2 linked regions of the Callithrix jacchus genome follow. The protein of the gene in region 1 interacts with the protein of each later gene in a pairwise test. Links are inferred from orthologs where the notes say so. Each region holds a gene or a part of one and is shown on either strand. Other genes may lie near its edges.

What was found.
Region 2: the proteins of TANK (region 1) and PLK1 interact in binary tests that used the Homo sapiens proteins (3 or more experiments, as listed by UniProt). The link is inferred for Callithrix jacchus from reciprocal best matches to the Homo sapiens genes TANK and PLK1.

What each region holds. Positions count from the first base shown.
Region 1 is NC_133507.1:68,573,833-68,578,807, reverse strand, and holds part of TANK (TRAF family member-associated NF-kappa-B activator), read left to right. Parts: intron 1-505; coding exon 506-582; intron 583-1,220; coding exon 1,221-1,336; intron 1,337-4,975.
Region 2 is NC_133513.1:24,292,577-24,297,551, forward strand, and holds part of PLK1 (serine/threonine-protein kinase PLK1), read left to right. Parts: intron 1-3,845; coding exon 3,846-4,001; intron 4,002-4,975. UniProt on the Homo sapiens protein: Serine/threonine-protein kinase that performs several important functions throughout M phase of the cell cycle, including the regulation of centrosome maturation and spindle assembly, the removal of cohesins from chromosome arms, the inactivation of anaphase-promoting complex/cyclosome (APC/C) inhibitors, and the regulation of mitotic exit and cytokinesis.

The sequences.
Region 1 (4,975 bases):
TTGTTGAATTATAAGGAGCTATAGCTTGGTTTTCTTTCTTCCTCTAATACAGCTGCATTCTTCAGCAAAGAATCTATAACAAAAGACAAACACATTGATTTAAATATATAGACCATTTTTATTGAATATGAAAAGAAGTAAACACATAGATTTTTTTTCTTTCCTAAGCTTCTGGGCGTATGAGGTGCTTGGTGAACAGGGCAGCAATTTTGATTAACAGTTGAATTTGAGAAATTTCTTGAATTACCAGTACTGGAAATAGTAATAGAAGTTACCAGAAACATTTCATCACTTCACACTTTCTTGCTTTATTTTCCTTTTTCCTTGACTTTTCTTATTTAAAGAAAAAAGTCAATTGGATATTACATATAGATCTATAAACTGCCTCAAGTTATTTTCAGTAGGGAAGGTAAATAAATTTTCCTTTGTGTTTTCTCTTTACTCGATCTCATTTGAATTTGGAAGCAATTTAAAGTAGTAATACTAATCATTTTGTGTTTTTAAGGTAAGAAGACAAGAGGTTTCTTCTCCTAGAAAAGAAACTTCAGCAAGGAGTCTTGGTAGTCCTTTGCTCCATGAAAGGTAATTCTACATCCTTCTTCGCCAACTCTGAAAAATTATCAATACTGAAATATGTTTTACATTTATATATTTTAAGCTTTAACAATTACAAGAAAATAGCAGCCTTTTAGAATAAGTGGAAGTGACCAACCCCAGGGCCTTTCATGTTAAAAATGACCTAAATAAGTCATACAGTTAATAGCAAAGCTGATCTAAAACTTGAATTCTCTAAAGCTCGACTGTTTAAATTGGCAAATATTAAGGCCATATTTCTTTATATGGATGAATCCTAATGTGAACTTTACCAAAATGAGGAATATTTAATATTCTATTTAAGATGTTTGCAGAGAACAAAAGTCAGTGCATCAGAATTTCTAATGTAGAATAAGACGTCCAGTATTAGCATATATATGAATAAGCAGATATGCTAGACTATACTACATGTATGTACTAGAACTTTTAATTTATCACTTAATTTGTGCCTGGATTTCTACAAACACAAGCTGGTTTTGGTGACATTGTCTAGGAATTTAAAATAATTTTTTTTAACTTTTAAATAATTATTTTATGGCACATAAAATGGTACTACATAAGATTAATTATTTTAAAAACTTGGAAGTTATAGCTTTACATTTTAAAATGTTGATTTTTTTTTTAAGGGATAATATAGAGAAGACTTTCTGGGATCTGAAAGAAGAATTTCATAGAATTTGCATGCTAGCAAAAGCACAGAAAGACCACTTAAGCAAACTTAATATACCAGACACTGCAACTGGTAAGATTTAATTTAATTTACAGTAATATTGATTTTATTGATTGAAATTGATTTCTTTTTGAATGTGAAAATATTTTTGAATGCCTATTAAGTGTGTGGCATCTGTAAGTTACCCCTCATCCACATATATTTAAATGTGTACATGCTATGTAAGTTCTGTAATGTATTACATATGTAATTGTTGGGTTTTTTTCTCTTTTTTATATATGGTACTATGAAGATTGAATTGAAAGACATAATTACTAATTATCTTAATAAAAAATCCCATCTTTAAAAAATATGAATAAATATAGAATATATCCCTGGAAGTTTTCAGTTGTTGTTTGCATGTTAATAAGTGACTTGAAGCCACACTACCATATTATATGAGCTAAGTAAAACTATAACATCAGGTTTGCTTGTAACTTCTGCCTGAAAGTTCATTACATATACTATGGATAGATGTGGTTTTGTTTTTTGGGGTTTTTTTTTTTTTAATTAAATACAAGATCTTGCTATGTTGTCCAGACTGGAGTACAGTGGCTATTCACAGACATGATGGCACACTACAGCCTTGAACTCCTGGGCTCAAGAACTCTGAACTAATTTGGTTCAAGAATAAAAATGTGGCACTCAAATTTCCTGAGTGCTAGTCCTGTTGAATGCACAAAATACACATTTAGTATAAAATACAACTTAGAAGGAACATTTGTTTTACACATGTGTTACAGTATATTTTTTAAATGCTGTGCCCTCCCTTAAAACCCCACCCTGGCTTCCTAGTGTTTGCTTTAGTAGTTCAATATGAATAGCAAAATATAAGGGATTAGGTCTGGCAACCAAACACTTCTCTAAACAAAAGGAAGGTAAACTGATCATTTATAATGATAAATTCTCCTTTACTCTTGTGATTTGAGCTATTCTGCAAACAATTCACAAGAGAAATGATTTACAGTTTTCACTGTGAAAGATGTTGCAGTCTTGGTGACTAATACCCTTTTAATTAAAGATCATTTTCTATTTCTTATAGCTCTTACATCTAGGCTATTTAAAATCATTTTGTAGTATAAATTCACTTTTTGCTACTACTACCATTTTATTTTCAGAAAAGTTACACAATGTGTTATTAGAAAAGCAAAACGGTCTTTGTAGACAGATATAATTTGGTTCTTTCTTTCCCTTCCCCTACCTCCCCAAAAACCCTCCACCTTAATTTTTGTCATTTTCATGAGAAATTGATCTTTTGTATGGACTAAAGATACTAGGTACCTCTGAAGTAAATGAATTATTTCTGTTTAAAATATGCTAGCTATGGAGATATAGTACCTAGAATTCATAAACATGCTTTTTTTTAACATCAACATCTTATTAAGGCATTGTAATGGTGATATATTCTCGGTTACACAGAAAACTTACCTCATTATCAATGGCTTAATCCTTTGACCATTTTTAAATTGCACAGGTCTAAATCTGAGTATGTATCTGTCAACTAGAACACTGAGTGTTTAACTTCAATTTCTTCTCCACTAAAACTGCTTCCTTATGCTTTATTTTTATGCTTTATGTTAACAGTGTCACAAATAATAAACACATTATTCTCAAAATATTTTAGATATTTTGTGCTACAGACTCTAGTGAAGTTTTGCTGGGGTCCAAAGACAAACCAAACTAAATATGCTCTGATAGTAGTATATCAAAAGGAGAAATAAAAAAATATTGTTTAAAAGATGCCTATTCAGGGGTTCCAAATATGTATGCTACACTGTATAAAAATATAGAAGAACTATTTCAAATATAATTTGCATGCTATATCTGGGAAAAGGCATGTGTATTGTCCCTGTGTTATTTTGTATTAAAATTTTATTTTTACTTTTAAATAACCAGATATGATTCATTTGAAAATACTGAGTTAGTAGAATTATACATTTCCTTTTTATTATTAAATACTTTGTTTTTGTCTACTCATCTGCATATGGCAGTAGACTTCAGAGAGGATAACAATAAAAGCTATATATGTTTGTCCATAGCTTCAAAAAAACTGTCTGGTTCATAAAGGAGTGTCCAATTTCAATGGAGATTAGGAAAGAAGAATATAGGATTAAGAGTAACAAACAACCATGAGGTCTTTTTCTTTTGTCAATATACAAAATAATTATACTGAGAAGTAATCTAAATGAATAAGCCTGTATTTAAAATTTGGAAATCTAAAAATGTTTCTCATTTTACTTTTTTCCTTATAAAAATAGGTATTCTTAAAATAGACAAAATAGAAAAGCTATTTGCTCACCTGATCATCTTTCTCAATATGGTGTCAGGATGACAAGTGCTTTCATGCATCTCATTTGAGTTTTAAGTTGTCTCAGCTTAGATTTCTAGTAGCATTAGGAATCTTAGGCATAAATTTTTAATAGATATTAACTCTCACTACTTGAGCAGATTAATTCAGATTATTTTAATGTGGCTGAGGTTTTATGCCAGCTAGCTTTGCTGAAAGAAAATATCTGCTTTTTCAGAGCCATTTCATTTCTCCACATTTTGTTCAAAAGGGAGATAGATCAACTGCTAGAAAAATAATTCAAAGCACATTTCTGTCAATTTGGGGACTTCTCTCTATATATAGAAACCAACATGTTCAATTTAGCATAATAGTTCAGAGCACAAATCTAGAGTTAGGTTGCCTGGGTTCCAGGTGCAGATGTACCACTTACTATTACAGTTGTGTGGCCTTTAAATTAACCTCTCCAACCAGTGTCTTCACGTGGAAAGTGGGGATAATAATAGTGCCTACCTCGGGATTACTTTGAGTATTGAATTAATGTACATACAATAATTATAATAGTGCATGCCATGTGGAAGTGCTATTAATGTTAATAGTCATTGCTATTAGCAGCAGCAGCTGATTCTTCGGCATTCACCTTGTTCTCCTTATGAAGATCATTTGATAAGTCTCTCCTCTTCAGGTATTACAGAATCTGATTACCTCACAAGTTAGTTTTCCTGATTTGTTGTTTGCAAGTAGCAAATGCCATCTACAAAGACAGTACTGTTTCCTAGACTTTTCTGCCACTTTCAAGTCTACTGCCAGGAAAAATGACTACTCAAGAGTTAATGGACTTTAAGAACCTCAGAGGCTAAAGAAATCCAGCTAAACAATTAAGCTTCGTCACAATTACTATATCATTCCTAGTCACAGAGTATCTGGTAAATGTTTATTATTATAGTAGGCTCTGTAGGGGAGAGATTACAGATTCATTCATAATTCATTTGTTAGGGGCATACTATGTGCCAGGCACTGGGCTAGAGTCTGGAGTTAGAGGGAAACAAAACATAGTTTAAGACCTCGAAAAGCCTACTTTAATGGAAGAAAGAGAGTTAAACTTGGAAATACAGTTATGTGGCGAATGACATTTTCAATCAACAACAGATTGCATATACAATGATGGCCCCATAAGATTATAATGGAAGTTAAAAGTTCCTATCATCATAGTGACATTGTAGCTGTCATAACATTGTAGCACACTTTTTTTTTGTAAATTTATTGTAACCTAAGTGTATAGTGTTCATAAAGTCTACAGTGATGTACAGTAATGTCCTACGCCTTCACATTCACTCACCATTCACTTTCTGACTTGCTAAGAGCAGCCTCCGGTCCTGCAAATT
Region 2 (4,975 bases), on another chromosome or scaffold:
TTGAACTCTAAGGCTCAATTGGTCCTCCCATCTCAGCCTCCCAAGTAGCTGGGACTGTCAGGCATGTGCCACCATGCCTGGCTAATTTTTCTACTTTTTGTAGAGACAGTGTTTTGCCATGTTGCCCAGGCTGGTCTTAAAACTCCTGGACTCAAGCGATCCTCCTACCTCCGCCTCCCAGTGTTGGGATTACAGGCATGAGCTGCTATGCCAGGCCTTTAAAAATATTTCTAACACTTTTACATGGTTCATTGAAAAAAATTTCCTTTTTTTTTTAGAGATAGGGTCTGGCTCTGTCCCCCAGGCTAGAGTGCAGTGGTGTGATCTCGACTCACTGCAACTTCTGCTTCCCAGGCTCAAGCCATCCTCCCATCTCAGCCTCTCAAGTAGCTGGGACTACAGGCATGTGCCACCATGCCCGGCTAATTTTTTGTATTTTTAGTAGAGATAGGGTTTTGCCACATTGCCCAGGCTGTTCTTGAACTCCTGAGCTCAAGTAATCTGCCCGCCTCAGCCTCCCAACATGCCGGGATTACAGGTGTGAGCCACTGCGCCCAGCCAGCATGAAAATTTTCAAGTACACGTATAGAGCATAATGTAATAGATCCCCTCATACTTACTAGATTCAGTAATTAGTTATCAGGATTTTGTCAAGTTTGCTTCATTTATTTATTTTTGTCCTTTGAAGTCTTTTTTAAAGTTAACCTTGGCTCTCTGCCATTTTACACCTATATAAACTTCAGAATGCTTCTCTTAAAAAAGATGAACGTTCTCTTAAAAATCAAAAAACCGCATGCCATTGCTTAGGTTGTCATTGCTTCTAGGTCTCTTCAGAGAACAGAATTAGGAACTGCATTTATAGCAGTGGGGGAAGACTGACATTGAGTCTGTGATGATATTTCCTAATCACACATTTTTAAACAATTTATTCTGATATTTTTGCAAGCTTATGAAAAAGGTAGCATAGATCAAAAATGCACTCCTATTCTCCCCTTTTGCCCAGATTCACCAGTTAGCACTTTTTTCCACATTTGTTTTATCAATTACTCTCTTTTTTTCTGAACATCGAAAAGTTATATATGTCCTACACTTCACCCTTAGTGCTTCAGTGTATGCTTCCTAAAAACAGATTCTTTTACCTAAGGATAGTACATGGCACAGTTCCCAAGTTCAGGAAATTTAACATTGATACATATGTCTTATAGCCGATCTTCTCTACTGGGAAGTTACTGCTTTTGGTAACTTTTAAGTGTCTGATTTAGACACGATGTTAATCTGTTTTTACTTCTTTGGTTTATACTTGCATTTCTTTTCTCTTAAACTGAAAATCTTGTTTCCTTATACATTAATATACTTAAAATTTTCAACATCTATGAATTCCTGTTAAATGGTATTTATTTTCTTGCAATCCTAATTGTCCTTAAAGTATATTTCACTAAGGATATATAGTTTTAAAAAGTCACTTAAAATACTTTTTTTTCTCTATGGATATATCACCCATTTGATGTACAACTTAAGTTCATTTTTCAGTTTTCAATTTTTAGGTATTGGTTTTTCTTAAACTTCATTTTGGAATTATTTTAGGCTTATATAGAAAAGTTGCAACAACAAAAAGATCCCCAGAGTTTCCATATACCTTTCAGAAATTATTACAGTGGAATTTTTTTTTGAGATGGTTCTTAGAACTTGCTGTCACCCAGGCTGGAATGCAGTGGCTCAATCATAAGTCACTTCAGCCTCAACATCCTGGGCTCAAACAGTCCTCCTGCCTCAGCTTCCAGAGTAACTAGGACTATAGGTATGGGTCACTATACCCAGCTAATTTAAATTTTTTTTTTCTTTGGGAGGCCAAGGTGGACAGATTGCCTAAGCTCAGGAGTTCGAGATCAGCCTGAACAACATGGCAAAACCCTGCTTCTACTAATAATACAAAAAATTATCCAGGTGTGGAGGTGCACGCCTGTAATCTCAGCTACTTTGGGAGGCTGAGGCACAAGAATCACTTGAACCTGGGAGGTGGAGGTTGCAGTGTGCCAAGATCTCACCAGTGCACTCCAGCCTGCACGACAGAGCAAGACTGTCTCAAAAAAAAAAAAAAAAAAAAAATTTTTTTTTTGTGGAGACATGATCTCACTATGTTGACCAGGCTTGTCTCAAACTCCTGCCCTCAAGTGATCCTCCCTCGCCTCCCAAAGTGTTGGGATTACAGGTGTGAGCCACTGTGCCCTACCTACAGTGATATTCTAATGGCAATTTTTCTTTTCCTTAGTTTTTCTACATTTAATAATTGGAATTCTTCTGTAAGGAAGTGCTATTCCTTCTCTCCCATTGATTTATTTGGTTATGTCTGAAATAGACTCATGGATATTTTATTCTTTGGGCTATATTTTAAAGGATTACTTATTTCTCTCTTTTTTAAAAATTTATTTGAAACAGAGTCTTGCTCTGTCGTGCAGGCTGAAGCGCAGTGGCACAATTGTACCTCACTGTAGCTTTGACCTGAGTAGCTAGGACTTTAAGCGTGTGCCACTACATCTGACTAATTTTTAAACTTTTTGTAGAGATGAAGTCTCGCTCTGTTGCCCACGCTGGTCTTGAACTCCTGAGCTCAAGTGATCCTCCTGCCTCAGCCTCCTACTTTTTTTCTTTCAGTTTTAATTTTTCATATAGCACTTTTAAAACTTAAGGAAATTTCCAAACTTACCCAAAGGTAGAACTGTATGATGAATCCCATGTTTCATCTATTTTTACTAATTATCACCATTTGGCCAGACTTGTTTTATTTATTCCACCCTCCTGCCTTTTTTTAACTGGAATTTTGGAAATTATTTATTTATTTGAGATAGTTTTGCCTTGTTGCCCAGGCTTGAGTGCAGTAGCAAGATCATGGCTCACTGCAGCCTCAACCTCCTGTGTTCAAGTGATTCTCCCATCTCAGCTTCCCAAGTAGCTGGGACTTACAGGTATTGTGCCACCATGTCCAGTAGTTTCTGTATGTTTCGTAGAGACAGGGTTTCGCCATGTTGCTTCGGCTGGTCTCAAGCTCCTGAGCTCAAACAGTCTACCTGCCTCAGCTTCTTATTGTGCTGGGATTACAGGTGTGAGCCAACTGCCCCGGGCTTGCTGGAGTGTTTAAAGCAAATCCCTAATATCTTATTATTTCACCCCTAAGTCCCTATGATGGCATAGTGTTTTGGTTTTTTTTTTGAACAGCTCCTTGCTATATCATGGCATAGTTTTTAATTGAAAACTTCTTTAGGAAACATTTTACATTATACAAGGAGAACTAGCAAATGTTGATAGGGGAATAAACAAATAAGGAAAAAGGCAATAAAAATAATCTGTGCTTCTACTGCCCAGATATAACCAGTGTTAAAATTTCATGTATCTTTTCATGCGTTTTTTGATTATAAACATATAAAGCAAATTTTAGAGTAGAAAAAAATCTCTTGTGTTTTTATTTAAATGCCTATTGAATCCATCCTGCGGGTGAACTGAGACTACTCAGCCCTCCCATCTGCTTAGATGTGGAAGACGCTTTTAAGTCTTTGCTTGAAGCTGGGCAGCTCTGAGTTGCTGGTGGCTTCAAGCTGTTTGTCTGGGTGGCAGGTGGTATCCTCCAGGGCCACGCCGTTGGGTCACAGGCTAGAGCATCTGAAGATCTGTTGCCTCACAGTTAGCACGTGTGCCTGTCACCTGAGCATGGCAGCTCCTGCTCTATTGACCAGGCACTGACTCAGTTTCCCCTAAGCAGTGGTAGCTAAGATTTTTCTTTCAGAAAAGTTTCAGCTGTGGCAGGGAGTCCTGTGCCCTTCCCAACGCCCCTGTTTTTGTTACCCTCCTAGGCTTGGAGAACCCCCTGCCTGAGCGTCCCCGGGAAAAAGAGGAACCAGTGGTTCGAGAGACGGGTGAGGTGGTCGACTGCCACCTCAGTGATATGCTGCAGCAGCTGCATAGTGTCAATGCCTCAAAGCCCTCAGACCGTGGGCTGGTCAGGCAAGGTGGGTACTGTGGGCCCTGTGTAGGGCAGGATTGCTTGGGGCATCTGGAGAAGGCAGGAATCTTGGCCAGCAAAGCACTGGTGACTTATCCAGGCCCTGTCTCCATAGGACCATTGGTTTCCCCATTTCCTGACATCCAAGGTCCTGCATGCTGTGGCTCCTGCCTTCTTTTCTGATCCGTCTCTTACTTTAGCACCTTGATATGCCACCTTCATATGCTGTTTCTTTTGCTCAGTAAGTTCCTATTGTTTCTTCAAGACACTTGAAATAACAGGCCCAGATGGGCTGCAACCTCAGGGCTTTCACACCTATGGCTCCCTGGCCCTGTCATGAAAGCAGACACTAGCTTTCATGGCTCACACTGTGGCCTCCTTCAAGTGTCTGCTCCAGTGTCACCACTGTGAGCATCTCCCTGGCCTATCTGCTAGTGCTTCTCATCCTCTTGCCCGCTGCATAGTTCTCCATAATACTTCTCACCCAACATAGTCCAACATATCCATCTTTATTTATTGGATTTTAAATAAGGGATTTGTTGCATGCACTGAACATAATATTTTGATGTGTTTGCAACTGGCTTCTGTCTTCACAGTTTCTTAATTATTCCAAACTGGAAAACTAGATAATATCGTCCTCTGACTCTTACCATAATAGAAGTCACTGACATTTTGCCCATACTTAATTTGATTAGTCTTTGTCCCTACAGCCACAGTGTAAGCTCTGTGGAGGCTGGGGTTTTGTCTGTTGCTCACTGTACATGTGACAGTGCCTGGCAGGCATAGTAGGCCTTCAATAAATGAATCAGTCAGTGGAATGAAGGAATGAGTGGAACTTGTCGTTCTGTGCTGAGATTTTCTGTGTAGATGTCTGTGCTGCTGCTTGTCTAAGCCTGTTAGCAGTAGAGGCCCTGCTTTGCTCTTCTCTGGGACCCCAGGCCTCTCAACTCAGCCCAGGTGGAGTGCTCAGCAAGATTCCCT